Arabidopsis thaliana: one gene and its partner. The protein of the gene in region 1 interacts with the protein of each later gene in a pairwise test. Each region holds a gene or a part of one and is shown in the gene's direction. Other genes may lie near its edges. The genes, in order: AT3G21400 and AT3G60150.

What was found.
Region 2: the proteins of AT3G21400 (region 1) and AT3G60150 interact in a two-hybrid assay, tested with the Arabidopsis thaliana proteins (one large-scale study listed by BioGRID).

The regions. Positions count from the first base shown.
Region 1 is NC_003074.8:7,525,076-7,540,629, reverse strand, and holds AT3G21400 (dynein beta chain, ciliary protein), read left to right. Parts: upstream 1-4,106; 5' UTR 4,107-4,336; coding exon 4,337-4,490; coding exon of another isoform or gene 4,491-4,548; intron 4,549-4,629; coding exon 4,630-4,754; intron 4,755-5,518; coding exon 5,519-5,806; 3' UTR 5,807-6,050; downstream 6,051-15,554. Other genes in the region: AT3G21410 (F-box and associated interaction domains-containing protein), read left to right, coding at 2,679-3,911; AT3G21405 (uncharacterized protein), read right to left, coding at 4,342-4,548; AT3G21390 (Mitochondrial substrate carrier family protein), read right to left, coding at 6,205-6,423, 6,568-6,720, 6,884-7,036, 7,316-7,443, 7,724-7,835, 8,259-8,369, 8,528-8,725; AT3G21380 (Mannose-binding lectin superfamily protein), read right to left, coding at 10,173-10,427, 10,523-11,029, 11,146-11,607, 11,994-12,152; AT3G21371 (uncharacterized protein), read right to left, coding at 12,720-12,926; BGLU19 (beta glucosidase 19), read left to right, coding at 13,051-13,206, 13,349-13,418, 13,648-13,703, 14,093-14,168, 14,275-14,352, 14,470-14,557, 14,681-14,945, 15,051-15,160 and 1 more.
Region 2 is NC_003074.8:22,215,076-22,230,249, forward strand, and holds AT3G60150 (NADH dehydrogenase ubiquinone 1 alpha subcomplex assembly factor-like protein (DUF498/DUF598)), read left to right. Parts: upstream 1-6,896; 5' UTR 6,897-7,076; coding exon 7,077-7,249; intron 7,250-7,347; coding exon 7,348-7,464; coding exon of another isoform or gene 7,465-7,546; exon of another isoform or gene 7,547-7,753; coding exon 7,754-7,788; exon of another isoform or gene 7,789-8,000; intron 8,001-8,001; coding exon 8,002-8,102; intron 8,103-8,188; coding exon 8,189-8,275; 3' UTR 8,276-8,437; downstream 8,438-15,174. Other genes in the region: DIN2 (Glycosyl hydrolase superfamily protein), read left to right, coding at 1,678-1,812, 2,619-2,688, 2,807-2,862, 3,193-3,268, 3,369-3,446, 3,549-3,636, 3,743-4,117, 4,204-4,421 and 4 more; ABCC9 (multidrug resistance-associated protein 9), read right to left, coding at 8,754-8,881, 8,959-9,198, 9,288-9,351, 9,436-9,741, 9,822-10,036, 10,119-10,413, 10,496-10,660, 10,755-11,390 and 3 more.

The DNA.
Region 1 (15,554 bases):
ATCTAACTCGAATCCATAGTCTCTAATTTCTATCTTACTCTTGATGTAGCATTGCTAACACACAAATTCAAGATAATGGTTCTTATTCTTGACAAAATTCCAATCGAATCAATCGAACCTATTTTTTGTTAGATTGATTTCAGTTCGAGTTAGTCGGTAAAGGCCAATGTATGTTTAACTTCTATCACCATATTAACTTTTATGAATTTTCAACTCAAATCACTATCAGTTCATTGCCCTTTTTATTTGTTACTTGGGATTCATATCACCCATAGTTGTATAGATCTCATTGTTTGTGTCCACAAGACCACAACAAATAGTGTTACTGAAACTGAATTAATTTTTGAGTCAAACTTAATTATTGGTTCATTATCCGATTATCCTTTATTGGACCAAATTCAAATTCTAGAGCTTCTCTAGAAACATCATAAAATATCATCACCTCTTTAAGTGTTTTAAGAATCCTATTCTTTGATTATCTTGATATACATGTCGAAAAATCTAGATATATTTGCAGAGAAAAATCTAGATATTATGGTTGAATGTTTTCTAGATTAGGATAAATATTGTTAGATATTTTGTAGTTTTGGATTCTATACATAGTTCATCTTTCCTCCATTTTTAACCAAGTTGAACAAGTAGAACCAAATGAATAATAGAGTTTTTTTTTTTTTAAACTATTCATAAGTTCTCTAAAGTGTCTCCTAAATTTTTCAAAGAGGGTTCATTCTTTTGATTTCTTTCAACGGTCTTAGGGTAGTGTTAATCACTATCGATGTTTCCTTACAATTACCAACACACAACTTTGGCTGTATTCAAAGTGTCCATTTTTCATGTTCGATTAAGGCCAATATATCTAAAAATTAACACATCAATTGAAATTATTTTTGTAATCAATGTATATATTTTGATGAGAACAGACTGATCAAGTATATACGTGTATTGAAAGAGAAGGGTTACAAAAAGTATATGATGAAGTAGTGGTGACTGAATTTCAACTTGCAAACCAATGTCTTAATTTGGAAGTCTTTACTCATACTTGAAACTTGTACGTCTCTCTCTCTCTCTCAACCTCTCGACCACGAAGATTGAAGATCTAAGTAGACTTGCAATCCAATGGGGAACAAAAGTACAAAATAAATTAGAATAATTTATTTATTTATTTGTAAAAGAACAAGAAAAAGAAAAAGAGCACACTAAATGTGGAGAGGGTGAGCTTGAGGATATTAGAAATTGTGGGGTTGAAAAGAAGAAAGTGGGTACGTTAAGGTAGGGGCCATGCTTTGTGTTTATGAGTTTAAGAGAGAAAGTGATGTGCCGACCAAATCTAGTGATCTTCTCGTCGCACTTCCTTCCCACATTGTGCCTTCTTCTCTTTTTCTTTCTTTTCACTATTTTTCTTGTTACTTTTCTTCATAGTAATTTTCATACGTATTTAACATAAAAGTCATGAGTTTTATTCATAACATTCGACTCACCAACCACAAACTTAGATTAAAAATGTTTTCGCATTTCTTCATTTTAAATTAACAATCTATTGTGCATTTAGGTCAACACAGGAGATTGTACTAGTCTAAAGACAATCTAGAAGTGTAGTGAAATTTTTTTTAGAGGAATCTTTTCAGCTTTTTGACGAATTGTTTAGAGGAATCTTTTTAATTACAACTTGACGATAAAGGTTACAATCTGTGGGAGGAGAAAAAAACAAAAATAAAATAGAAAATAATAGTTATTCCGAAGAAAGAGGAATGTGTTTGGTTTGGTATCATGATTATGTCTAATGAAGAAAACACAAAAGACTATTACTACTGACTCGAGCAAAAAAAAAGTATTTTGGAAATGCTACTTTAATTAAACTAAGCAGAACCTCTCAATCTTATTTATCATTTTTACACTTTTCCTCACCACCAGAACCTAACTACTTTTTTGGCTTGCGATCAGTGGAAATGAACTACAAGTAGTAATATCTCTTCTTCAACGATATTCGCATCATCTCCTTAAATTGGAAGCTAACTCATTCAAGTTTTAGTTGTTTCAATCATGGCCTTAGTGTTGGGCTTCTTCCTTTTGGTGTATCTTATTGACTAGTTTCATTTGGGCTTTTTGGGGCATCTTATTGTGGGCAACACAAAATAACTATGTTAAATGAAAGATTAAAATAAAATTTATTTGAACGCTAGGAAATTTGACCGGAGCTTTTATGGGAATATATATATATTACAAAATCTAATTCATTTTGCTTTAATTGGTATATATATATTACAAAATCTAATTCATTTTGCTTTAATTGGTATATATATATATATATTTAAGTTTTCTTAACTAGACAAGTTGGAATGCTGGTCCACGCAATCTTTTGCTATAACTATATAATAATATAGTTTTTAAAAAGTTTTGATTTAAGAATATCTTAACAAATCATATTTATAGTTCACCAAATGCTAATATTAGTTTATATGGAATAAAATCTCATAGGGAACAATAGGAAATTGACTGGAACTTTTGAGGGAAAATATATATTTCAGATTTTTTCTTTATTTTACTTACTTTAATTGCTTTATCCATCTATTTTAGTTTTGTAAAATTAGATAATTAAGTTGACAAATGTTGATCCACGCCACACCATCTTTATTTCCAAATATTTGAATCAGATTCTCTTTTAAAACAATCTTTATAAGATGGCGTGGTTCCAACATGTTAAATTATATATAGCTTCATGCATAAATCTATTCACAAAGATCCAGAAGCCATACCTCTCCATGGCCATGGATTCCAAAGAATGTTCATTGTTGCCTTTTGAGTTATTTGAAGAAATACTTTGTAGGGTTCCAACTAAATCTCTTTTACGACTCAAGTTGACGTGCAAACGATGGCTCGCTCTTTTCAACGACAAGAGATTCATTTACAAGCACTTAGCTCTTGTTCGGGAACATATCATAAGGACCAATCAAATGGTTAAGATCATCAACCCGGTAGTTGGAGCTTGCTCATCTTTTTCACTTCCTAACAAGTTTCAAGTGAAAGGTGAGATTTATACTATGGTTCCCTGCGACGGGTTATTGTTATGCATTTTCGAAACAGGTTCAATGGCAGTTTGGAACCCATGTTTGAACCAGGTTAGATGGATCTTTCTCCTGAATCCTTCTTTCCGGGGTTGTAGTTGCTACGGCATTGGATATGACGGTTTATCTCGGGATAGCTACAAAATCTTGAGGTTCGTAAACGGTGTTTTTACCAAAAACGAGTATGCAAATACGGGCTCTTACAAACCAGAGGTTGATATTTATGAATTAAAGTCTAATTCTTGGAAAACTTTTAAAGTTTCTTTGGATTGGCATGTGGTTTTGCGTTGTAAAGGTTTGTCACTCAAAGGAAACATGTATTGGATTGCTAAATGGAACCGTAAACCCGACATCTTCATCCAAAGCTTTAACTTCTCTACAGAGACATTTGAGCCCTTGTGCTCTCTTCCCGTTAGGTATGATGTACATAATGTTGTAGCTTTATCAGCTTTCAAAGGAGACAATCTTTCTTTGTTACACCAAAGCAAAGAAACATCAAAGATCGATGTATGGGTTACTAACAAGGTTAAGAACGGAGTGAGTATCTTATGGACCAAGTTATTTAGTGTGACAAGACCTGATCTCCCGGTATTGCTGGCTTTTGAGAATCTTTCTTATCCGGTGCATTTCATTGATAAGAATAATAGGATCGTAGTATGTTGTGAGGAAGTATTGGCAGATAAAAGAAACGTAGCCGTCAACATCTACGTTATTGGAGAGGATGAGATCAAAAGCCAAGATGAGATAGAACAACACCAACTAGGTTTTAGTTGGCCTTTTATCTCCGGCTATACATATCTTCCAAGTCTTGTTCCGGTTCCATCATCGGAGGATAATACACCAGAATAAAAGTTTAAAGTTTTTTCAACGTTTTGTTAATTAGTCATGTGAAAGGTCATGTAATCTATGTTATGATCCTCCGGTTCGAAAGTTCAAGAAATGTTTTGATTTTTGGTCCATGTGTTAACAACATAGTACTATCTGGTAATTCAAAACGACGTAGTACTGACTTAATATTATTCACTTATTTCAAGCTCTCAAAGCGAGCGCGTGTAACTCTTTCAACACGAACACGTTCTTCTTCTCTCTGCCCCATTCAATACATGAAGAAGAACACAGCTGATGAAGCTACTTCCACTACCCTTTGATTCCAATTCGAATTCTCCCCCATTGTAATCATCGGATGCAGCAGAAAAATACCTACAAATTTCGATTCTTTTCGTAATCCATTGGACTCTTTCTGTTTCTGAAAGAGAGTGTGTGTTTTTGCGGTGATGGGTCAGCAATTGCGTCGAGCTGTTGGGAAAATCAAAGAAGTTGAGAGATCATCACCATCAAGAGTCTCCATTGATCGGAGATCGCTTCCTACGGAGGAGCTCAGTGCCGTGAAATCGTCTCCGTCTACTGCCGCCGTTGATGGAGTTTCTGGTATAAACCCTAAATCTCTCGCATTTGGGTATTCGAAAGTTTTCACCGTTATAAACATTTAGATTGATGGGCTGCTTCTTAACCGTTTCCAAATTTTTGTTCGTTTTTGATCTGAATTTGGGTATGTATCTGTTGTTAGATAAAGGTCGAAGAACCAGTGAGGATAATGTTTTAGAGGAACGAGACCCCAAGTATGATACAATGTTGAACCAAATGGTTGGGAGAATAAAAGCTAAACCTGGAGGCAAAGCTGAGATGGGAGAGGTTTGTAGTGTTGTTTCCTTAAGCTTTGTTTATCTCTTGTTTGATTTGATGCATTGATTCGATTCTCGTCCTCTCATCAGGACAAGTATGTGACTTTTGGATGTTTAATATAGATCCACCTGATTACCTGCATTGATAGTTGGTGCTTATCTTAGTTATGTAGCTGTTGAGAATGGTATATGAACCCTTTGTCTTGCCTCTTAGTCACATCTTGTGGAGTTTTTGTCATTAGTCATGTAAAGGTTTCGTTACTGGTTGATTTTAAGGTATTAGAGATAAGATGGGTTCAAAAGGTTTCGTTACTGGTTGATTTTAAGGTATTAGAGATAAGATGGGTTCAAAAGGTTTCATGAACAATGCTGGGTTGCTTTCTAATTCTGCTCTGGAATATATGTTAAGGTTTTTGCCCCAGAGTCTCTGGCAACAATCTAGAATTTTATATTGGACTGAACAAGTTCACATTTTAGAGTAACTGTTTAATGTAGCGTAACCAGATTAGAAAACCTTTGATAGCGTTTTGTGTCACACCAATGAAATAGTTAGCATAACTAAGAAGTGAACAGATTTTGTCTCATTCTTCTGCTGGTAATCTTAAAGCTGACAGTGATTGATGGTGTAAATTAAGTTTAGGATAAGAGATGAAATGTAGAAATGTAGATAATGCAAAAGGGCCATATAGTTGCGGGTTTTGGTCTTTCCTGTGTATAAATCCATGAAGACATATATCTATCTGACTAAACTGATAAGACTTGTGATTTATATAGGCATCAGTAGTTGAGACATCGAAAAGGCCACTCCCAAAGCTCCGGAACACAACTCCTGAATCAACAAGATATGAGGAAAACCCGGTGCCTCAAGGAACGTTGAACGTAGCACAAGTGCGACACATCATGCTTCTCTTTCAGGGAAAATCTCAGGATCACCATGGTCCAATGGGTGTTAACGAGATAGCTGAAAAATACCGGATTGATGTCTCTCAGGTTCAGAAGATCACTCAGTTCCTGTCTTTACCTCAAGAGATTACTGATAAGCAGAAGAAACAATATGAATAAAAAAGTAAAGGCTCTGTTCGTTCATATTCAGAAGTAATCAGAACTGGTTGGTTTCTTTTGTCCTTGCCAGTTTTTAGAAAGTTTTGTGCCTCGATGAGTAACACAGAACCAAAGATGACATTGACTTTAAATTTTAGTTTTCGCTGAGCAATAATGTAAAACTGTGTAGCTAAGAATACAAAGCTTTTTTCAACCAAGCCATGATTCTTTTTGAAAACTGCAGCAGTAACACACTTTGCTGATATGAATGAATAGATTTAGTGAAAATCTACCGTTCCTAGTAAGAAAGAGTTTGCATTATTGGTCTCTGTTCAGAGAAGGATGGAATCTTATATTACTTATTACTCAAAAGCAAAATAGAATAAGATTTACAAATAGAATTGAAGAATTTTACAAGTTCAGGTCAAATTTGCCTCAAACCAATCGGATGCAAGTTCATAGGCCACAAATGTTACAGCACCAGCAGGTGCAGCTTTAATGGTTGATGGAACAATGCCTTTATAAAGCCCGTGCCAACCTTCAGATCTTAATATCTGCCCTAAACCGTCAAACATGTTCTTGTAAGCATTCAGCTCTACTCGGGCTCCATATTTTGGGTGACGTTGCAGACCTTCGACCTGCAGCGACAAACATTCTTGTATCAAACCTTGATGTTTGATCTAAAATGCTTTGTAAAATCACTTTAGGCTTCTGGTAACATGGACTTCGGTGGTAAAACATTAAGAACACATAGCTAAAACACAAGATGGCAAAAAACTAACCTGGAATCTTTTCTTGACAACATCAAGCGGATGACAGACTAGTTTAGAAACAGTGCCCGAAGCTAAACCGCAAAGGAAAAGCTGAAAGCTAGAAAGACTATCACTTGGATTCGTTGAGCTTGATGAAGAAGATCGGTATCGCTTATTATATACCTAGCGCAAAATGTATACCAACAGTGAGATGAGAACTCCAGATACCGCTTCAAGATAATCTGCTGCTTAGAACACAAAGTTGTGGTGGAGGCAATGGTGTGTATCTATGTTATATATTCCAAAGGAAAAAAAAATTGAGAACATTCATGAAGCTATAGCTTACCATACTCCAGCGTTTAAATGTGTCATAGGTGCCAAACTGCAGACCAGCATAAGGAATGATCTCGATCAGAGTAGGGGACAATCCTGCATACAACCCTTTGATTCCACGAGTTTGCACTATACTCAGAAATGCTGACCTCATATTTGGATACACCTAACCCAAAAATTTCGATATATCAATCGTCAATAGCTGATAATAAATTCATGGTTAACTAAGACATCAGTGAAATAATAAAAATTTCTATGAATATCAGAGAACTCCATAGATGGGTTTCACGCTTTCTCAAAAAATGACTTTATTTATGTCAACGCATTCTCAAAACTTTATCCTTTTCCTTTCTTTCTCAAACTATATTGTTGATTTTACAGGAGTAAACGTTACAGAGAACCCATAACTATGTCATCACATTCTTTTACTGAAGAAATATTGTACCTTTGGCTCACCCTGGGACGCCAATACAGTCCGCAATAGGTCAAACGGATACGATCCAACTGTTGCTGCACACCCTGCTAGTGCCCCACTGATGTAAGAAAGATAAGGGCTCAGTTGAGCATGATTTTCTGCAGAAGATCAGAATTCAGAATTCCTGTCAAAAACAACATGCTAAAATCTATCTTTTAACTTTCTGAAACATTGTGGAATGTTCTCTCTTTTGTGGTTTGTGTAATTTTCAAGGGGTTTGATATGTAGATGAATTATATAAAGCCAAGTCATGTCGCCATAAACAGCTCATTTAAAGGAGTTAAATTTACATGAACCTAAGCGTTTTAAAGTGTACAGATCACACCTTGGATATATAATACATGTCACTAACAGATTTATTCAAAGTTAGTGATGTACCGGCCTTTGATGAACCAGCGGCAAAAGACTTCACCTTATGTAAGACTGCAAATTGTATGGATGTATAAGGCACAACCATAAGTAAAGCTGGAACATTTCCACGCCAGAAACCCTGCCATAAGCAACTTGATTTAAAATTCAGAAAGTGTCTATTAGCCATAAGAAATCAATTCCTAAAGCAGTCTAGAATAAGGTCATTCATTGAGTTATCAGTGTCCACAAAATTGTAGAGAGAAAAAGGCTATCTATGAGTGCTCAAAATCTGCAGTTGAATATCATGTATCATAACCGTGGAGATTCTCAAACATCAGACAAGTCTAAATCAACGAGGCTGCATCGTAATCAAGATATTTATAACACTTCACATTCCAACTCAACAAAACTAAGCTTACCATTAGAGATGATGAAAAATCATTTGCCAAGAAAAGAATTGGTGTGAACACTTTGCATCGATGACAACATTGGTAAATGACTCAGCATAACAAAATACAACAGTTAACACCTTCAAAAGAACATTATCTAGGCAACGACTTACCGATAAACCTTCCTCTCTAAAGATATCCTTCGTTGTTCGAAACAAACCATTGTACTTCGGTTTCAGCTGAGAATCTTTCAGAGCCCATGTAGCTGTAGGCTCCAACTGAACCTGAAAATTTCAATACTTTCACTTCAATAACCATTCCTTTTGCTCTTACTTTCTCAAAGCAAAGATGTTTAACATGCCAAGAAATTTTCTTGAGTCACAAACACATATGTGCATAATCCAAATCCACAAAAACCAATGAACTAGGACTCTTTACTTACCTGAAATCTAATCTTGATAACATCAAGGGGAGAGGTAACCATACGTGAAATCGCACCAGCAACACCACCAGCAGAAGCATCAATGACAGCACGTTTTAACTTTCCAGGCTCATCTAACTCTGTACCACTCATGATCACGAGCTCCTTGCTATAACCTGAAATCATTGTGTCAACAACATCAAGAACACACAATTGCATAGAAAAAACAGACTGATCCACGAAAACAGAGGACTAGAAATTAGCGTTCTCTCGTGTGTCTATGTGAAATCGAAACATACAGGTAAGAATCAGTCGATGTTGCTCGCAAGAAGAATAAATGTCACAGATAAACTAATTGAAAAACAATAAAAACTCAAACTTTAATGAAACTATCCAGAGAAACTATGTGGAAGAATTACAATGTAGAGAAATCGATTGTAAAAGATGAGATTTTTGGGAAATTGGGGAAAGTGTTCGTCGTGATTAGATAAGTAAATGAAAGAAGAGGAACGTACAGGGCTAGATACAAGGAAGTAACCCCCATGAAACTGGGTTATTAAAACCTTAAAGGACTTGTTAGAGTAAATAAACAGAGGACTCTGTTACCGCCATTTATTGATGGGATCTCAGAGCTTGTGTGCTCTGAAGAAGAAGAACAATCCGTAACAAAGAAAAAAAAAGGTCTAATAAGAAAGCAATAACACTATAAAAACAAAAACTTTAAAATTTGTGGTTCTACACAAAAAGGTTGTAAAAGTATTGACCTCAAATTTGCAGTTTCTCTTTAGCTTTATACTTAAGGCTTTTATAATATATAAGATGTTTTAGGCTTTTATTTTTATTCTATTTCATAAGGTTTTCTCTAGTTTTATACATAATTTATGTTAATTTAATAGTTTATGATGAATTGGGCAGTATTCTTTTTCTTTTATTGACTGAATATTCATAAATGAAAAATATTTCTTATTTCTTAATATATGATTTTAACCAATTTTATAAAATAGGATAAATGGAATATTTTAATCCATTATGCATCAAACCATTAGAATATTTTTTTATAAATATTATAAAATGAAATTATTTAAAATTTATGAAGATTCTTATCCATTAATTTTCAATAATAAGAAAATGAAATTTGTATGCGTTATTTTAATTTTGATCCATTTCATGCCAAAACAGAATCATATTATAAGAAATAAATCTCTTTTTTAGATAAAAGGTTTTCAAATTAAATTGCAGGGTAACAAATCATATATGATCTTTTGGATCATATAGTTTTTAAAAGTAGAGCGAAAGTAATAACCATGGATAAGAAAGAGAGAATTAGTGATGTGTTATGCCACTAGTCTTCTCCAATGGATGATTCGTCGACCGCCACAACCACGTTTGCCACAACCCACAACTGTCCACTTTGCAAATTAGATATATGATTATATGAATCAACGTAACCAAGATTTTATATATACGTCTTAGAAACCGTTGAAACAGTGTTACAGACTCCAATCCAGTACAGTATAAGGAGACATTGAAACACAAACAAACACACAAGTAGCATATTGTCAAAGACCTTATTACCATTTACACAAGTACAATGACAATTTCTAGAACAGAGATTTTTTGATAGCTCATTTTTATTAGACCGGGACTTGAGAAAATATTACAAACTTCACTTGGAAATAGGCTTGACATGGACTCCAACTTGGTGAATTATGTCAGCACCCGCTTTGCCATGGAAGCCAACTATCTTGTGGCCGTCTTCTTTGAGTAGGACGCTTTTGGCACCTTCAAGTCCAAAAGGTGGAGAGGTTCGCTTGTTCGTTGTGAACCTAAGCATCGTTATGATTTCACCTTCAGTTCCAAATATTTTGTCATAGTTAAGCTCCACCGATGTTATATATTCGTTTGGATATTCAAGAAGGAACTGCAAAAAAAAAAAACAAAAAAAAAATCTAATATGAAACAATAATTTAGAAATGAGGTTATATGCTGGTTCTTCTATGTGTATACATATTTGACCTCTTCAGGTGCAAGTAGTGTTCTTTTCCCATGATCATTTCCGGGGACCTCCTTAGAGTCCTTGTCGTAGACAAACTTGACGTATGATACACCAGAATCACCCTGACCTATATACACTTTCCTCACACCTTCATGAGGACCATCGTCCCATGGATTTCCCACGTTACCACCTTTTGCTTCTAGTTTCTTAGCACCAGCTGATCCAGTTGGTTGAGCTGATCCAGGTGGCTGAGTGGCTGAAGGGGTACCACGACCGGATGAAGGAGCGAAATAAGCTCCCAGAGCATTAAGAAGTTCGCCGCCTACTCGCCCATGGAACCCAACGAGTTTACCACCATTCTTGTCCTTGAGTTCATATTTCTGTGAACCCTCGAGTCCAAAGGGCGGTGAGAATTTCCCTTTGGATGTTTTGAAGATTAAGGAGGTGATAACTTCCGTGTCTTGCCCAAATATCCTGTCAGATTGCACTTCCACTGATGTGATGTAGTCGTCTGGATCAACCTCAAACTATACAGAGATTTCAAATAAGTTAATTCTTTGGCAAGATCGGTCATAATATAACTAAAGTACAACGGATTTGAACTTTCTAGTTATAATATAGGAAAGGAACTAAACATACTCACCACTTCTGCTCCTAGAAGGGTCTTCTTTCCGTGTTCGCGTGATTCCTTCTTATCGTCCTTCTCGTACTCGAACTTGACATAAGTGACACCAGAATCACCTTGTCCAATGTACACTCGTCTTACATGATCATGAGCACCATCGTCCCATGATGTTCCTCCTTTCCCACCTTGAGCATCAACTTTGTTGGCTTGACTCAAACTGGACGATGACGACGAAGAGGAAGGTAAGGGAGCAAAGTGGACGTCAATAGAGTTGAGAACATTGCTGCTAATTCCTTGGAAACCAGCTATCTGATTATCTTTAGGAGCATGAATGGAGAATTGGTTCCTTGTTTTGTTTCCGTAAGGACCATATTCAGTTTTGTTGGTCTTAAAAGCCAATGCTGCTATAGCATCTTCAGCCCCTGTAGTTTTGTAGTAGCCAGTAACATCTGTTATGTACTCGTCTGGGCTCAAGCTCACCTACAAAAACAAATATATTACATTAGTTCGATCAAAGTATACAATAAATAAATCATTATAAACAAAAATATAGTAGACCAAAATTTTCCTAGCCCTAATTCATTTTTATATGCTATTATTAGACCTAGCAGGACCCATCATTTTTTCTTTTCATTTAGTAATTAAGTGTCAGTTAATCAAACTAAGGCAACCCGTCAAGAGTCAAGACCACAAGACCGAGACCGACCAAACTAAACCCATTGCAACATCCATAAATTGAAAGATGTAGTATATATGGAGAAGGTCGTGAAGAGTACTAGCTAACGCCGTCAGATTATTTTTTTTGCTACTCATGTAAATATCTTTTATGTGAAAAGTTAGGTTTTACAACATTGTTAAACCCTTACGCCGTCAGATTTCTTGCCAGGAGTGCCGTGATGGTGAGGGTTATGAGTGTCTCCGTCGTATTCAGCCTCTATGGAGTTGATAACATCTTCATATGTAATCTGCACCCTCTTCACCTTCATGTGCTTCCCGTCGTCCCAAGACATCGTTGCGGCCGCCATTGTATCTGATCATATCTTACCGGTTGTTAAACTTTTCATTAAAAAAAACAAAAACGGCTATGCATTTTTCATTTTTCAGATAAATTTATAACATTTTCATTATACTTGTAAGATAACTGAAAAATAATATATACAAAAGGGTGAAGAGAATTAAGTTTTCCTTTTGTAGTTGTAACTTCTTGTAACGCTATAATAAATGCAAATAATGAAGTGAACCATTAAGAAAGAGAGGCTACGTACGTACTTCTGTGTTTTTTTTTTGTTGACAAAAAGAGATGAGAGAGTTGGTGTGGTGATGACTGATGCATGCAAGTGCGTTTTTATATAGACATGGAGACTTATTTAGATAGCGACTGACTCAAACCCAAACTTGTGGATCTAAAGATCACACGTTACTCTATATGATAATTGTTCCACTTATTAAAATTCTAATCCGCTTATGACCCTTCAAATATCAAACACTTGGTCTCAATATCCACTTGTGCTTCTACAGAATCGTACACTCAATCTTAACATCCAGATGTGAGATTTATTTGACGTACACATAATGTGTAACACATGCGAATATTACAAACACATGCGAATATCACGCCTTAAAACGAGGAGACTATAACAGAAAATTGACAATGTGCATGCAATAGTGAGAGTGACAAAAAGACACTTGGCCTTCAAGAACTGATCAATCTGCATGTAATAGTGTAAATACACTTGGCGGCCTCCAAATACAATTTGGGCTTTGAAATTCATCACCTGATCGGTGTCACGTACATGCATATATGCATGTATATATCTATAAATATATAACGATATTTCTCCTTTCAAATCAACATAGTCTTCCACTTTGTTTTGAACTTTTTGACCAAAAACACACTCGTGAGCTTATAAAAAAAAATCAACAATGAAGATTCCTCTCTTGGGGTTACTTTTACTAATAAGTCTTGTCGGCTCTCCGACAAGGGCTGAAGAAGGACCTGTTTGCCCGAAGACCGAAACTCTTAGCCGTGCAAGTTTTCCGGAGGGCTTTATGTTTGGTACCGCAACCGCAGCCTTTCAGGTACATGTATATGTATACAAAATAGATAAAATATCCATAGAAATGGTGATATTAAAACACTTACAAAACATTGGGTGAAGCTAAGAATATGTTGGGAAATGGAACAATGAAAATGATTTATGTATTTATATGGTTAAAATAGGTGGAAGGTGCAGTAAATGAAGGTTGCAGAGGTCCAAGCCTGTGGGACATCTACACCAAGAAATTTCCACGTCTGTCTCTTTTCTTTTCTATTTATTTCGACCACGAAGCATATATATGTCCACTTATTAGTTGTCGGTTTTTTTAAAACATGCATTCATCACTCGTGTGTTATTATGAATTTGATTCCAAGAGGTATTATAAAGAGTTGTTAACGACCAGTATTATAGTAAGTAACTGTGTAGCGAACCAGATATCTGGTGATAATAAATAACATTTTGTACTATATTTAAACTGCAGATAGAGTTAAGAATCACAATGCTGACGAGGCCGTCGATTTCTACCATCGCTACAAGGTATTAGCTTCTAGATTCTCTTTTTAAACGTTTGATCATTGATAGTATCATTTTCTCACGTGTAGTTCGAACAACTAAAAGATGATTGAAGTAGTCCAGATAATTAATTTCGGGAAAACATTTTATCAAAACTGTATAAAGAATAATTTGGAACAACACAAGATGAATAGTTAAATAAAAAAAGAACTAAGTTAATCTTGTAAAAGTTGGTAACTATATAACACTTAGGATAAAGTGCATCATAAGGTTCAGTTTTTATAGTTATTTATTTTATTAAGTTTTATCGATTAGAATTTTCATAGTGAATCGTTAGATTCATGGGCTCTACGAAGTCATGTTAATTACTTAATTTTATAACTAATGTTTCGTATGCCTATCTAAATCAACAGGAGGATATCCAGTTGATGAAAAAGCTGAACACTGATGGTTTTAGACTTTCTATTTCGTGGCCAAGAATATTTCCTCGTAAGTTAAACCATTCATGAGTTCCTCAACAAATAAAAATAGGCCACGAGAATTTTAGAATTACTATTGGTTTCCAACAAGAGCTGGTTACTGAATAATATAACAGATGGGAGGATGGAGAAAGGAATAAGCAAAGAAGGAGTTCAATTTTACCACGATCTTATTGATGAGCTCCTTAAAAATGGTCATAGACTCTCTCTAACTCTATATATCCACAATTATATCTACATTTTTATTTATTTATCGTAGTAACATATAGTAACTGCAAAAAACTAACTCTCACTAAATTATTGTTTTTCAGACATAACACCATTAGTAACGGTTTTTCATTGGGATACTCCCGCCGATTTGGAAGATGAATACGGTGGCTTTTTAAGCGAACGTATTGTGTAAGTGTACATGTCATATCTTCACATTTGATTATTGTTTTTAAGTTGTTTCGTACAATAGTAATTTTTCTACTATACGTAATATCAAAGTATAATTGCTTACTTTAAAATGTGAATATATAGGCCTGATTTTGTGGAGTATGCAAACTTCACGTTCCACGAGTATGGGGACAAAGTGAAAAACTGGATTACGTTCAACGAGCCATGGGTCTTTAGCCGTTCGGGCTACGACGTTGGGAAGAAAGCACCAGGACGTTGTTCTCCTTACGTCAAAGAGTTTGGAAAGCTTTGTCAAGATGGACGGTCAGGATTCGAACCTTATGTTGTCAGTCACAATTTACTCGTGGGTCATGCTGAAGCTGTTGATGCTTTCCGAAAATGCGAAAAGGTAAAAACAGAATACCCTATTTAATCACATTCGTTTCTCCACAGTGACATATAAACCAACTTTTTTAAAAGTTTTACTTATTAATTTTTCGGTTTTTTGAAAAAGTGCAAAGGTGGTAAAATCGGAATCGCTCATAGTCCAGCTTGGTTTGAACCCGAAGATGTGGAAGGAGGTCAAGCGACTGTAAACCGTGTGCTTGATTTCGTCATTGGCTGGTTAAAAACACAAATCATCAACTCTTGATATATTTTAATGTTATTCTTGATTATATATATACATAATTGCAACATTGTGTTTTTCTTTTTCTTTAGGCATTTGGATCCTACCACGTTCGGGGACTATCCTCAGTCTATGAAAGACGCGGTTGGATCTCGGTTGCCAAGATTTACCAAAGCCCAAAAGGCAAAACTGAAAGATTCGACAGACTTCGTGGGAATAAACTATTACACTTCCTTCTTTGCAAAGGCTGACCAGAAGGTTGATAGTCGGAACCCGACTTGGGCTACAGATGCTCTAGTCGAATTTGAACGTAAGATTCGTTTATTTCGTTATTCCTTACCTAATACAATAGTACATCATGTTAAATGATATATTATGCTATATGTCAAT
Region 2 (15,174 bases), about 15 Mb from region 1:
ATATAAGCCCATCTCCTTGTGTTGGAAAATTAGTTGCTCCTTTACAATATACAATTTCTTAATAGGAAAACATGTCACTGCCAGTTGATTGTTCTCATCTCTTTTTTTCCTTAGTGGAATCCGATAAGGACAATTGCTCATATCTGTTTTTTTTTTTTTAATTGAAGATGTACATTTTCTCTTCTCTGATTATCTTCCATACAAAATCTGCACTCAGTAAAAAGAAATTATGTATTGCTGTTTTAATACCACTAGATGATCACCCGTACTACGCCGCAGTTTTTTTGGATTATTTTATATTATTTAATTTAAATTTAATTTTTATTTGTCTAATCATTCACTCATACAATAAGCAATTACTTTAGTATTAAAAATATTTTTTTCTAACAATATTCTCAACAATGCATCATACATATAATTCATAAACAACATTTATCTTAAATTAATTTAACAGAGGGTAGTATTGGATTCTAGAAACCTAAGAATATGATGATAAAGCTCCTTACGTATTCTTCAGCGTCAGTGATTTATTCTATAAATATCATAAGAGAATATAAATATCAATTTAAGAGAATAACTTACTCAAATCATTAAGTAATCTACGACTATTATACATTCATACTTTGAATTTGGATTACAAAAAAAAATCTTCGAGTATGAGAAAACTATTAAAATAGTTTTATTGAAAAATCATATAAAATAAAAATAAATTTAGTAATAGTATAATTAAATATGTAAAATAAAATTAAATAAGAAATATATCATTAACCTATAAATTAGAAGTTGAAGAGCTTACATTAATTATTTAATAGACACATGTCAAATGCTAAAGTGATGATGTGTCAATCATATGAAGAGAGTTGGCCAACTTTCATATATATGATTCTTAGTTTCGTACCAATTAGTTTCTCAATTCAGTGCATGTGTAGTCAAATGTCCAAAAGATTGTTTCTAAGCAATTAAAATCTTATCAAAACTTCATTGCCCAAAATATTACGAAAGCTTGTTTCTGTGTATGATATACCCGGTAAAATTAAAATGATCATTATACAGAACAAATCAGCATGATTTTCGGATAAAGATGACACACATTTGAAATCGTAGCCGTACTACGCGAAATACATGCACTCTTCGTTATGTTAACACTTTAACAGTGAACGTAGCCATAATGTTGACCACATTCAACAGTCAACACAAACATTACTTTACACACAAATATATGATTATATATACATATGTACATGTAAGTGAATGTGAGCAATAATGACGGGAATATTCAGAGAAGACGATGGTGAATGTTAGCAGTGATCACGGGCACATTCAAAACTGACTGTGGACAAAAAAAGCTCCTGGCCTTAAATATGATTGTGCCAAAAATAGTACAAAACTAAGAACCCAAAATGGAATTCGAGACCTATATAATAATATATATGTATATAGTCTTTCCTTGGAAAGAAATCTTATGTTATTAAGAAAAATACTATAAGTTATCTCTCTATCTAGATATGATATATATGTCCAAACATTTCCACGTAGATGACGTATATTACCGAGGATAATCCTCTATATAAGGAAGAGAAGCTCGAGTAATAAATCTCATCACTTTGAAATCTCAAAAGACACCAAGCAAAAAAACAAAGACAGACAAAAAAAAAAGAGAGAGAGAGAGAGAGAAAAATGGCTAAGGGATCGTGGTTCTTCATTATCCTTTTTATCATCTCAATGTTAGAAAATATGATCAATTCTCTAGAATTAGATCGGCATAGTTTTCCTGATGATTTCATCTTTGGGACAGCTGCCTCGGCGTTTCAGGTAATTTCTTTGATTTGTAATATGTAAAATAGCAAAATAGCTTTGTGATTCTACAATTTTTATTAGTCACAGAGTTAAAATCATTATTTAAATTCAATTATTCTGTTGTTTTCTTTTGATTATGTTACTTTGAATGTTGAAACAATCATGAAACTCTGCAATATCACTCTTTTTTTTGGGATCAAATTCACAATTAAATTAAAAAAATAATTTGCTTAATAATCTTATCTTCATTATGCATTCATATTTTTTTTTTCTAAAATACAATTTTACCATTTTGCAGTATTATGGTCATATTATATAAGTCATAGTAGAATAAAATAACTAGTTCAGAAATTAACTGTTGAAAAGTTATTTAATTTACGTTTAAAAATGTTGCAAAAGAATTTTCATGTGGATCCTCTTGTCTAATATCCACTTCTTTTTTTGCTTGCGGGTTCTCACTTAGGTGTTTTTAAACAGTTTTAATTACAAAACATGCTCTCTTTTTTTTTCTTGAAAACAAAAAAAGTGAGCCGTAAACTTAAACACATCTGGGCAGCTGGACTTCAAAGTGGAAAAGGCTGCTCGACTTTCAATTTAATTAACTAGGAGAAAATATCAAATACTATATTATTTGCTGACGTCTACAGATGCTAACGTTCCTTTTTTCATTTCCCCCTCAAATGTTCTCTTCTTGTCATATAAAGTTGCTTGCATCATCATAATAAAACTGTAATGTTTTGATTTGGGGACAAAAAGAATATCTGCTTTACAAATTAGCTCTGCGATCAAAATATGTTTTTAAAAAGTATATATTTATGCAGTACGAAGGTGCAACAAGTGAAGGTGGCAAGTCTCCAACTATATGGGATCACTTCAGCCTCACGTATCCAGGTCTGTCCGATTACAAAAATCAACGGACCGATTTTATTGACACTTCTATACCAACAAAACCATATTTGTGAGATGTGACTAAAAACTGATGGTTATTTTATTAATTCTTTGACTGCAGAAAGGACCAAAATGCATAATGCAGATGTAGCAATTGATTTTTATCATCGTTACAAGGTACTATCCAATATTTATAATCAAGCTATTTACTTAAATCATACATGTTTATAATTAATCTTATTATCAAAAGAAAAAAAAAAGCAAAAAATCAAATTTTCTTTGTAAATGAGTTATATCAAAAATCAGGTTATCTCTAAATTTTGTAAATAAAACATCAAATTTAAAACAACTTTCGAAATAAGTCAATTTACTTTCTTGAAAAGTTGGTGCACTGAACCTGGAGTCTTGGACTTATATATAGATGTCATTTTTGTTTTGGTTATCAAGATTTTTATTTATTTATCTTTTGATTAACGAATCCTTTTTAATCCGACAAAAATAAAACAGGATGACATAAAATTGATGAAGGAGCTAAACATGGACGCTTTCCGATTTTCAATCTCGTGGTCAAGATTAATACCCAGTAAGTTTTTTTACTCTCTCTCTCTTTTTGTTGATTTTTTTTTTTTTATTAACACTTATTTATACGAATTCGTTATGTGGTGAATTTTTAATTACTATAGGTGGAAAGCTAAAGGATGGAGTAAACAAAGAAGGTGTACAATTCTACAAGGATCTCATAGACGAACTTCTTGCTAATGGTAAGATTATTAATTCATTAGTTAAGTTAAAGTTCTCTAATTAAATTAAAGGTGCGGTTATAACTCAAATAATCAAAATAAAATCATACTAATTACATGCAGACATACAACCTTCGATGACGCTCTATCATTGGGACCACCCACAATCTTTGGAGGACGAATATGGTGGCTTTCTAAGCCCTAAAATCGTGTAAGCCAAATTAACACATATATAATATTTCAAACGCAAAAAAGTTTTGTTATTGTATACATTAATATACTGTTGTTAATTTATTTTTTACTTTTTTTGAAAACAGAGAAGATTTTCGAGATTTTGCAAGAATTTGTTTTGAAGAGTTTGGAGATAAAGTTAAGATGTGGACAACAATCAACGAACCTTATATAATGACTGTTGCGGGTTATGATCAAGGTAACAAGGCGGCTGGACGATGCTCAAAATGGGTAAACGAAAAGTGTCAGGCTGGAGATTCGAGTACCGAGCCTTACATTGTTTCACATCACACTCTTCTTGCCCATGCCGCTGCAGTGGAAGAATTTCGAAAATGTGAAAAAACTTCGCATGATGGCCAAATTGGGATAGTACTATCACCAAGATGGTTCGAGCCTTATCATTCCGATTCAACTGACGATAAAGAAGCAGCTGAACGAGCTCTTGCCTTTGAAATTGGATGGTAAGTTATATAAGCAAAAAAATTTAACGATTTTGCTTCTCATCATATTTATTTGTAATCTTGATATTCATTCTATATGTGTATAGGCATCTTGATCCAGTCATTCACGGAGATTATCCAGAGATTGTAAAAAAGTACGCGGGAAATAAATTACCTTCATTTACTGTTGAACAATCAAAGATGTTACAAAATTCATCAGATTTCGTTGGAATTAATTACTACACGGCTCGCTTCGCTGCTCATCTTCCTCACATAGACCCTGAAAAACCTCGTTTCAAAACTGACCACCATGTGGAATGGAAACGTAAGTAATGCTAATTAATTACTAAAGATTGATCCATACGCATATATATAAATTAAGCTTACATGGTAAAACTAAACAAGATTTATAAATTGTTTTGGAACAGTGACTAATCACAGTGGTCACATCATCGGACCTGGGGTACGTATTTACGTCTTTTTTTCATAACTATCAATTTCAAAAGCTACATGTAATCATTCTAAGATATTTTAAATTTTGTATTATATATCCTCAGGAAGAAAGGGGCTTCTTATTTTCACACCCGGAAGGCTTACGAAAAGTTCTTAACTATATTAAAGAGAGATACAATAACATGCCAGTCTACATCAAAGAAAATGGTCAGAAACTCTTTCCTTTTCTTTTTTTTGCTAAAGCAGAAAGTTTTTTTTTGTTAACTAGAAATTCAGAAAACTTTTTAGTACGTAGTTATTTAACTAAAGATTTTTTTATTTTTTTATTTTTTAACTCTACCACACATTAATAATATCCTAGCAGTGAATTGAAACTGAAGTTTGATTTAAATATATTTCCCTAACCAGTTCAACAAACTGATTTAAAAAAAAAAAAAAATGGTGTGACTATTAATAATTTACGTTGATTACTGAATTACAGGAATTAATGACAACGACGACGGTACAAAACCAAGAGAAGAAATTGTGAAGGACACATTTAGGATTGAATACCATAAGACACATTTCGAAGAACTTCACAAAGCTATAGTGTTAGTTCTTGATCTGTTTCTGGTTTAGTCTCTGATCTTTCTGACAATATTTAATCAAATTCGGTCGAGTTTTTTTTAACTAATAAATTTATGATATGTTTATAGGGAAGATGGGTGTGACGTAAGAGGATATTACGCATGGTCATTGATGGACAATTTTGAATGGGAGCATGGATACACTGCAAGATTTGGTCTATACTATGTTGATTTTGTCAATGGTCTCAAACGTTATCCAAAAGATTCGGTCAAATGGTTTAAGCGGTTCCTTAAGAAATCGGTCGTCGGAGAGAGTAACAAAGAGGAGGTAGAGGAGATGTCACGCGCGGAAGGGAATAAGACTTTTAAGGGTTTCGAAGAATCGGCGGGTTTCTTTGCATCTTTCATGGCAATGAACCAATCGAGGAGAGATGAGGAGAATAATCGTTGCTCCTTTGATTTTCCTCATACTCATTTTGGTGTTTTGCAAGGCATAGAGAACCCATCTTCATTTTATTGATTTCAAATCCCTTATGTTTTTAAATTCCTTATGGTTGGACATGTAGTTAATTAGAATTTAGCTCATGTTAATATATGAACATTTTCATGGTAATATTTTCTTCTTGGAATCTAATGGGTGGCATACTGGCATGATGGGTTCTGGCTTTGTGTGACAATATACATATATTATTTTAAAGCTGTTAATTAATCCGACGCTTCAAATGAGTTCAACAGCCAATTAAAAAATTTCATAATATAAACAATATTATATATCGTTAATCAACATATATATGATTTTTTTTTTTTAAACTAAGTTTATATAAATGTTTATTCGCGGCAAGGCGATGTATATTATAAACTATTCTTAAACTGTTATCTCATGGTTATTTGTTATTTCTTACAACAATATTTTACTTCTTTAACTGTTTTTTTTCTTTTTCTACAGTTTATAATAATATTGGATGAGGATCACCTTCTTTGACATCGTTAACAAATTGTTGATCGCACCACAATCTCTTTCATCACGTCACCAAAAATATGCTGGATCTTTATCTGACAAGTGTCAAATTGTGGCTTTCTTAAACATTTTAGCAGCCAAAAACGACACAATTACATACAGTACCCAGTCAGAGATCAAAACTTGTGCTAGCTTTCTTCTTCGTCAGCAACACTTATCGCTGGCATAAAACATTGGAGCAAAGTCAAAAACGTAACAACCGGTCCGATGTAAAATAAAACTACTATAGTTACACCAGAAAATATCCGAAGCTTATATATAGTTTTCAGGAGATTTTTGTTATCTTTGGTGAAAATAGAGTCAAACTCGGTGTCGCTCCATTTCTCGAAGCAGACTGGTCCCTGAGTCGTGGTGAAGTGTCTCTCGTTCTAAGATGTGGACTCCAGTTTTGTTTTTCTTCTTTTCACTGTAGACCTAGATTGAAGAAAATTAAAAAAAACTCATAACGTTTGGCTTTTGCGTTTTTGTTATTGAAAGATGAATATATTCATTTATATTTTTTATCCCGTAAGATTGCCTTCTGATTTGACGTCATTAATATGAAAAATCTAAACCAAAACAAACCGAATAGTTAAAAATCGATTTAAAATTATGAAATGGTTTTGCATTAGTCAAATTAAACGGTTTTACATTCCTTAAAATTTAGTATCAAACCAATCTACTGTATACATTCGGTTTTAAATTGGTAAACAGAAAATAAATAAAAAACTCTTAACCGAAACGTAAACGGAATAATCAATCTGTTTAGTAAGTAGTGTATCTGACTTACCAAAAAAAGAAAGAAGTAAGTAGTGTATCGGAATGGTTGCAATTAAATAGTGCAAACCGATTTGGATCATTGGTTTCTGGTTAGAAACCGAAACCAATAAACCGCTTTGGTTCAAGAGTCTTCCCTTGGGAACAGTTTAGACTTGAGAGCGCGGAGAAGTTGGAGACGGTGAAGATGGCAGTGAGACAAAAAGCAATGGCGACGTTGCCGAAACTGATTCAAAGCATGAGAAACGAAGTTACGAAGCAGCCCAGTCTTGTCTTACCATCTCTCAGAAGAGCTTTCTCTCTCTACGATCAGATCAATCTCATCGATAACGTTCCTGAGGATCAGCTCCGATTTCAGGAGTATTCATCTCTCTCAGTCATGTTCCTAATTTGACTATGTAGCAAGGGAATTTGGATTTTCGGGTATGAAATGAATCAATTAATGGTGCTTTTTGCAGGTTTGATGAGACGAGTTTCACTGTGAATGGGGTTAAATACGAAGGAAGCTTGCTCTGTGTTGGGAATTTGCTAATGTCATGGAGCCCTCGTTACTTCTCCGACATCACAACGGATAGGTACCAGTACCACCTTCTCCCTTCTCTTCAGCTTACTTATACAGGACTAGAGCTAGAGTTAAGAGATTGCGTAAAGTTATAATCTTTTCATTGTTCATGACCCTCTCTAATGAATGTTTAGTTAAGTCCTTTTCAGCGAAAGTTGAAGTCTGTCTAGTGTGGCCTCTCTTGTACGTACTAGTATCTGTTTGCTGTGTTTGATCTAACTTTGTAATATCTATCTACTCTTTCTACTTTGAAGTTAATGTGTCATTGCTAAACACTTTACATGTCTAATTCATGGATGCAGCTTGTCAATCTTCCAGACGGTTCGACCAATTCCAGGTACTATACATTTTAGCATTTTGTAAGTTGATTTCTTCCACATTCCTTATACAATAGTCTTTGTTCCAGGATCGTTGGAAACTGTATGATACGTTTGCGTACGCCATATTTTTAGTGGCTAAAAAGTAAAAACCTTTTGCACATATTGAAGTGTATCATCAGTGGTTTTTGACTCTCCTTTTTCTGTTTTTTTCTTTTCAAAACAATCTCTAGAGCTCTTGATTGTCGGGTGTGGAAGATACAACCACCCACTGAATCCCCAAGTCCGTCAGTTCGTAAAGTCAATCGGCATGAAGCTAGAAACTGTTGATTCTGTATGTCCTTTGTTCTATTCAAGTATTTGTTCTGTTGGTTTGGAGTATTTTTCTGTGCTTATTGATTAACGCTCTGATCTATCCAGAGAAATGCTGCATCAACTTACAACATACTCAATGAGGAAGGCAGGATCGTGGCTGCTGCATTGCTTCCTTATGGAGTTACATCGTAAGAAACTCAACACCTCTGGAATACTGTAGAACAAACTTCGAACAGCTTGACTCGATCTTTATAGTTGAAACACCAACATGGTCTTCTTGTCTACTGTAAATGATATATTTCACTCTATTTGTAAAACTTTTGCAAAAAAATCGAAATTTACAGGATTACCACCTTGTTACGTAGCTTTAATTTGATTGAGCTTTATCTGAAAAAATAGAAGATATAGATTCCTGCTTTATTCCATTGGTTACATGGATAGTTCTCCAAGAACACACTGAAAACTCAGTATAGAACCTAAAACACAAGTACTGATTAAAATGTTGAACTGAATTTTCTTCGATGCGCCATGCTTCTAACCATGGTGCTCTCTCCATTTCTATGTTCAACTTATGTAGTACTAAATAACTAGTTAGACTTTCAACTTAAGCTTAACTGTGGAATTCATATTTCGTTTTCTCTGCAAAAGATCATCCATCTTTTAGTGGTGTTTAGCTGAGAAGATCATTCGAGCCGGCAAAGTGATTAGATCTCAGCGAATACTCTTTTATGAGTTTGGAGAAGAAAGAATCTTCTCTCTGTAGCAGTTTGGCAGGTGAATCAAACTCTGCGATTCGTCCTGCTCATAGAAAAGTGACTTAGACCTCATAATTATGTGTGTGAATGTATATGAAAACACATGTATATTGTTCTTACCATCACTCAGAACCAGAACAAGATCACTCTCTATCACTGTGTGGATTCTGTGTGCAATAGTCACCACTGTCCGATCTTTAAACTCTTGATTGATGATCTTTTGTATTACACCATCAGTTGCAGAATCAACAGAAGCAGTGGCTTCATCAAGCACCAGAATGTTGCTTTTCTTCAACAACACCCTCCCAAGACAAACTAACTGTCTCTGCCCTACGCTCCAGTTTTCTCCATTTTCAACCACTGTTACATACATTCAAGAATCTTAGTTTTCATTGTCCAAAAAACATTAACTTAAAAACGTTTCCTGATAATGATTTCAGAAACCTCACCTGTAGCATCCAGCCTCTCATCCTTTGCACGAATAACATCTCCCAATTGGCATTTATCAATGGCCTAAGTATCACATTGTATTAGATAGAGTATTTGTCAAAAGTAAATCAAACAAGAACTACAGAGAAAATTTTGCAGGTTTCTTACTTCCCATATTTCGTGATCAGTGTACTGAGCTAGAGGGTCTAGATTCAATCTGATTGTTCCATCAAATAGTGCAGGATCTTGAGGAATAATCCCAAGCCTTGATCTCAGGTCATGTAGACCTATCTTGGTTATATCCACATTATCAATAACTATGGTTCCTTGACTTGGCTCTACAATCCTAAACAATGCCTGAATTAAAGTTGATTTGCCGCTTCCTGTTCTTCCTACTACTCCAATCTTTTTTCCTCCTGGAAACTCACAAGTGATGTTCTTCAAGACAGCTGGGAAATGTTCTGCATAACGGACCTGGAACAAAGACATCTCAGGATTGAGAATCTTGATTACAACTTGTTTCTGAATGTATTGACATCTACTATGTTATTTACCTGTAGGTCTCTGAAGACGATTGATCCTACATTTGGCCAGTTATCAAGAGGTCTGTGACCATCAATTACTAGAGGTGCTTCACTGGGGATTTTGGAGTACTGAAGAATTCTTTCTACAGAAATCATCTTGTTTTCTGCATTGCATATATTCCATATCACTGTGGCTTGTAGAACATTCAGACTTAAGCCATATGTGACCCCAAGACCAGCAATACCTGTAAGGAAAAGTGAAAATGAAGTTTAATTTCTGATCCCATTAGACAATGTATTTTATGGTTTATGATGTATGAGACTTACTTGGATTGATGACACCTTCAGGGAGAGTCACAAGTAACACCAAAGAAAAAGCAAAGACGAAATGAGACAGCAAATTCAACCTGAAGGAAAGCCACTCCATTGCTGATGCAACATGGAACCATGGCCTTGAATGGCTATCTATTAGAACAAGGTTTGAGCTAATGAAGCGATCTCGTTGATCAAAAGCACGTATTGTTGTTGCACCAGCAAGCGATTCAGCGAAATGGTGGAGAATTGGAGCTCTTTCTACTCCTGACATGCGTGACAGTTCTCTTGCTGTTGGTGTGTAATATCTCTAAAGACAACACGAGTAAACAAAAAAGTAAGCAAGATTTGTTGTATCATTGTCAAGAAATTGGATTTGTTTTCTCTCTTGCCTGGTAAAACACGCAGGCTACTGCTACTGGAATGAAGATGACACAAACTTGCCAAGCAACTTGCGACATGACGAAGATGGTTCCAACAATCTGAATGATCGAAAAAGCACACCAACCTAGTTTGACTGCCATTTCCAAATCCAGGACACTTTGATCTGTGGATGCCTATTACAAAACATGAAAAAACCAAAGGTATTTTCAGTCTTGATTATAAAAAACAAAACCATGTTTTTTTGTTGGATTGATTCTGGTACTTCACCCTGTTCAAGATTCTTCCTGTTGGAGTTGAATCGAAAAATGACATTGGAGCTCTGAAAATGCTGCAGAGCATCCTTGAGAAGAACGTCTCTGCTGTTGAAAGTCCACCTATGGCGACTAGAATAGTCCGTGCTAAAACACAAAGTGAACTTCCTGCAGCAAGAAGTGCATAAACAAGTAAAATCCGACCCATTCCTAACTTTGGTATGGATTCAGCAGTTGGAGGAGCAGTCCATGCCATCCAGTAATTGCTAGCAATCTGTAGCATTTGGAAGCAAGACTGAGCCAATATTATGAATGGCACAAGCAATCCGCCTTTCACCGTTGTTAAATATGCCAAGTAAACTTCTTTGCCAATTACTCCTTTCTCTGTTTCTTCATCTTGCACTAGCTTTGCTTCTTTCTTTTTATTCTCTGTTGAAATGTTATGCTCTGAGTCACAATGTGTCTGGAGACTCTCTGCAATTGATGCTGTGTCATCTTTTGATCCCTCTTTGAAGTTTCTGCTTGACTTTTCAATTGATAGAATTGAGTCCAGCGCTTCGTTATGAGCTCCTACAAGAACTTCAAAACCTATGTTTTGCTTTAGAAGCTCTTCAAACTTGCCTGCTTGCATCACTCTTCCGTTTTGCATCACCTAGTATACAAAGTACACACACTAATGTTAATGGAAAAACTAACAGCCTCTTTTGCATTTGCTTATTATCAACGGCTGTTTCTCTTACCAGGATTAGATCTGCTGCTGGAAGAAACTCAACTTGATGTGTGACGTAAAGTACAGTTTTGTCTTTCAGTATCCCCATTAAGCAATCCTGCAAAACAAGTAAAAACAAAACATAGTCAAGTGTGGAGTTTAAAGAGAGAAAGGATCAAACGAACAAATTGTCATGAACATTATTATACTTCAAAGAGTTCTCTTCCTGTATGAGCATCAACGGCGCTAAAAGGATCATCAAGTAGATATATATCAGCATTCTGATAAACCGCTCGAGCAATCTGTATCCTTTGCTTCTGACCTCCACTCATGTTTATCCCTCTCTCTCCAATCTCTGTCAAGTCTCCATTCGAGAAAAGCTCAAAGTCCTTTATCAAAGCACATGCTTTAACAGTTCTCTCATACTTCTCACTTTCATACATACTTCCAAACAAAATGTTATCTCTTATAGTCCCGCTTAGTATCCATGGTGATTGTGGAACATAAGCTTGTTTACCACTGACTCTGACTGTTCCCTTCAGCTTCTGAATCTCCCCTAGGATTGAAGAGAGTAAGCTTGATTTTCCTGATCCTACAGCTCCACAAACCGCCACTTTCATTCCGCTTTTTACTTTCAGTTCGATGTCATCAAGAGTCGGTCTGCTTGACTCAGGTTCCCAACTAAATGCTCCATTTTCTATTTCAACACTTAATTCTGTATGATCCTTTGAGCAATACTCAACTGCATCTTTCTGAGTCTCACTTTGTTGAAGGTAAGAAGCTATTCTATCTGCAGAAACCTTGCTCTGAACAAGTGCTGAGAGGAGATCAGGTAAACCGAAAATCGGACTTTGTAACATTTGAAACGTTGCAAGAGCAGATAAGACTGCTCCAGCTGTTAGCTTCACTCCCATTAACATACAAGTAACAAAAGTCACCACAGAGATCAATGAAGGAGCTCCCCAAAGGATAAAAGTTGTGAAAGCTTGTAACCTCAAAGACTTCCATAAACAATCATACTCTTTCTTTCTTAATGTTTTAACCTTGTTGAGAAACTGGTTATCCCATGCTTGAAGCTTCAGAATCTTCATGTTTTTAAGAATCTCTGAAGTTGCTTTCATTCTATCATCTTTGGCATTCATGATATCTGATTGGTAGTTTCTCTGAAGCCTTGTCAGGGGGTAGTTGCAAGCCATCACCATTAAAGTTGTGACCAATGCAGCTAAAGCTCCAAGTCCCAGATGTTTTTGCAAGATATAAATCGCCGAGAAAATCTGTATTGGTAACATCCATATGTTGTTTACATACCAAATGAAGTCAGTGATTCTCTGAACATCTACACTCATGTAGTTGATGATCTCTCCGCTCGTGTGGCTTTGCCGAGATTGACTTGATAAAACTAAACCTTTCTGGTAGATATGTGATATCAAAGCTGCTCGAAGACGTAGTCCTAGCTGACGAGCTCCAAAGATCCATTGTCTTTGAGTAACTGTCTCGACGATTTTCGCAGTTAGAAACCCGAGTGCAAGAAGGTAACCATGGTTTAAGCTCTGGGATTGTTTCTCACTTAGAAACTCTACAAAGTCATTGATGAGATATGGTCCGATGTAAGCTGTGCTCGCGTTTACAACTGCGAATACCGCGTTGATTGCGGCTTTCCTCCACACATAGCGAAGAACCGAGTTATAGAAGAAAGCATTTCCAGGTCCTTCTTTTTCTTTGGTGGTTTTCAGTTTCTGGTCAAAGGCATGAGAGCAAAATCGAGCGGAGTCTTTCACATCGATATCTGGTACATCATCTTTTTCTAGAGGTCTCTTGTATCCAAGGGAGAACAAAGGGTTGATCCATGAGAAAGTGATGCGTTGGAAGAGAGTAGCGTTTCCATATGGGGAAGAAGAAGAATAAGAATCTTTCTTGTTCTGCTCTGTTTGGTCACCAAGTAGTAATGGCTCTGTGTTACCGCTGGATTCAAGAAGATGAAAACCGGTTTTGCCTCTGATTGAAACAGCCAACAGGAACAAGGATGCAAGAAGACCAGTCAAGTCGGCATAATCTTGAAACTCGAGAGGCTCGTGTTTCGCGGTAATGAAATGAGCATCAAAGGAAAAGGATAAGATGAAACTACAGAGCCACCATGACCTTAACATCCAAGGAAACTTGACAAGCCTCCTTTCTCTGATCTTCACCACAACAACAGAAACAAACAACCACGAGAAAGACTGCGAAACCTCAGCGGAGAAGACAGAAACAGAGGAATCACACCGTGAGACCACGCTGTCTCGAAACAGCAAAAGCAAGATAAAGCAATGAGTCCCTAAGATAGAAACAGAGCAGAGAAGAGATATGTTGTAAGAGAAGCTCTGCTTCACAGTTATGCTCTGCTTCTTCAAGTCTTCTTCTACATCATTAGATCCTCTGTTTCTTACTACACCAAACCATTTAAGTGCCAAATGAATAAGAAAGAAAGCGAGGAAAGTCACTTGCATAGCGATGCTTATACGTTCCTTCAAGCAAAGTGAGTTTCCTAGTTGCAACCATTGCGTCGTCAGGAGATGAGAACCAGTTTCTGCTGCTCATATCAAAGCAAACACAATCAGGTAAAACGAAAAAAAATATCATTTTTTCGAGTGAAAGAGTAACAACTTTACCTGCGAAACCAAAGGGCTTGAACATAGCTTCTTTCTTGGGTTGAGAAGACACGTGTCTTCGTACCGAGAGTCTAAGTGAGAAGCACTAGAGATGATTGGAGACGATGAAGTTTCTGTTTTGTTTTCAGATGGAGTTGCAGGAGCCGGAGAGAGTGTGAGACAAGTTTTGAGTTTATAGAGAAAAGTGATGCCAGCTACAAAACAAAACAAAAACCCTATTGAATATATGATTGATAAGTTTGGGGACATTGGAGAAAAACAAATTGAATTCTCTTAAATATACGTTAGGCCGACCAAAAATTTAATTTAGAAATACGTATATATATCTAAAAGGAATGTCTTTCTTAGAATTACTTTCTTGTTTTGAAGTATTTAAACTTTTCAAAATTAATTTTGTATAATCTGAAAGTAAAAAGAATTATCAACAAGACAACAACATGCATGATATATAGTGAGTGAGTGACGATATTCGCACTAATACTTAATTTTTAATAATTACGTACTATGTATTATCATAACGAACGAACGAGCATAAGAATATTAATTTAAACCTGTGAAATTGTTTTGAGACAAATATATTTGGGATCTAGTTAGAAAATGGAGAAAATCACATGATGATGAGCTCAGGTCCAAATTTATTGAAACATGAAGCAATAAAAGAGACTTGCAGAAGTTAGGACCTGAATAATAATGATGACTTGCAGAGTCACTGGTCACTCTTATTATTGATAGTAATAAACGTGGACAATGTCAATGTAATTACTGTTAATGATGTGGTCCTTGAAAAACATTAATATTGGAACGCCGAAAGCTCTTGATTTCCCTGCCTTATGCAAAGGAATGCAATGCAAGTCGTATGTTCTTTCACTTCGTGATTAAAACCTTAGATGATCCGGCTTTTCATTAATAGTTAAATAGTTTATGTCTAGACTAACTTGATTTTTATGGAAATGTGACTACCGTACGTAATCGATTAATCGCTGACTCGGATTTATTTGTTTAGTAACTCGTTACTCACGGAAGTAAAAACACACACACAGTAATTACAAATATAACAAGCTCACGTGTAAATAACCGTA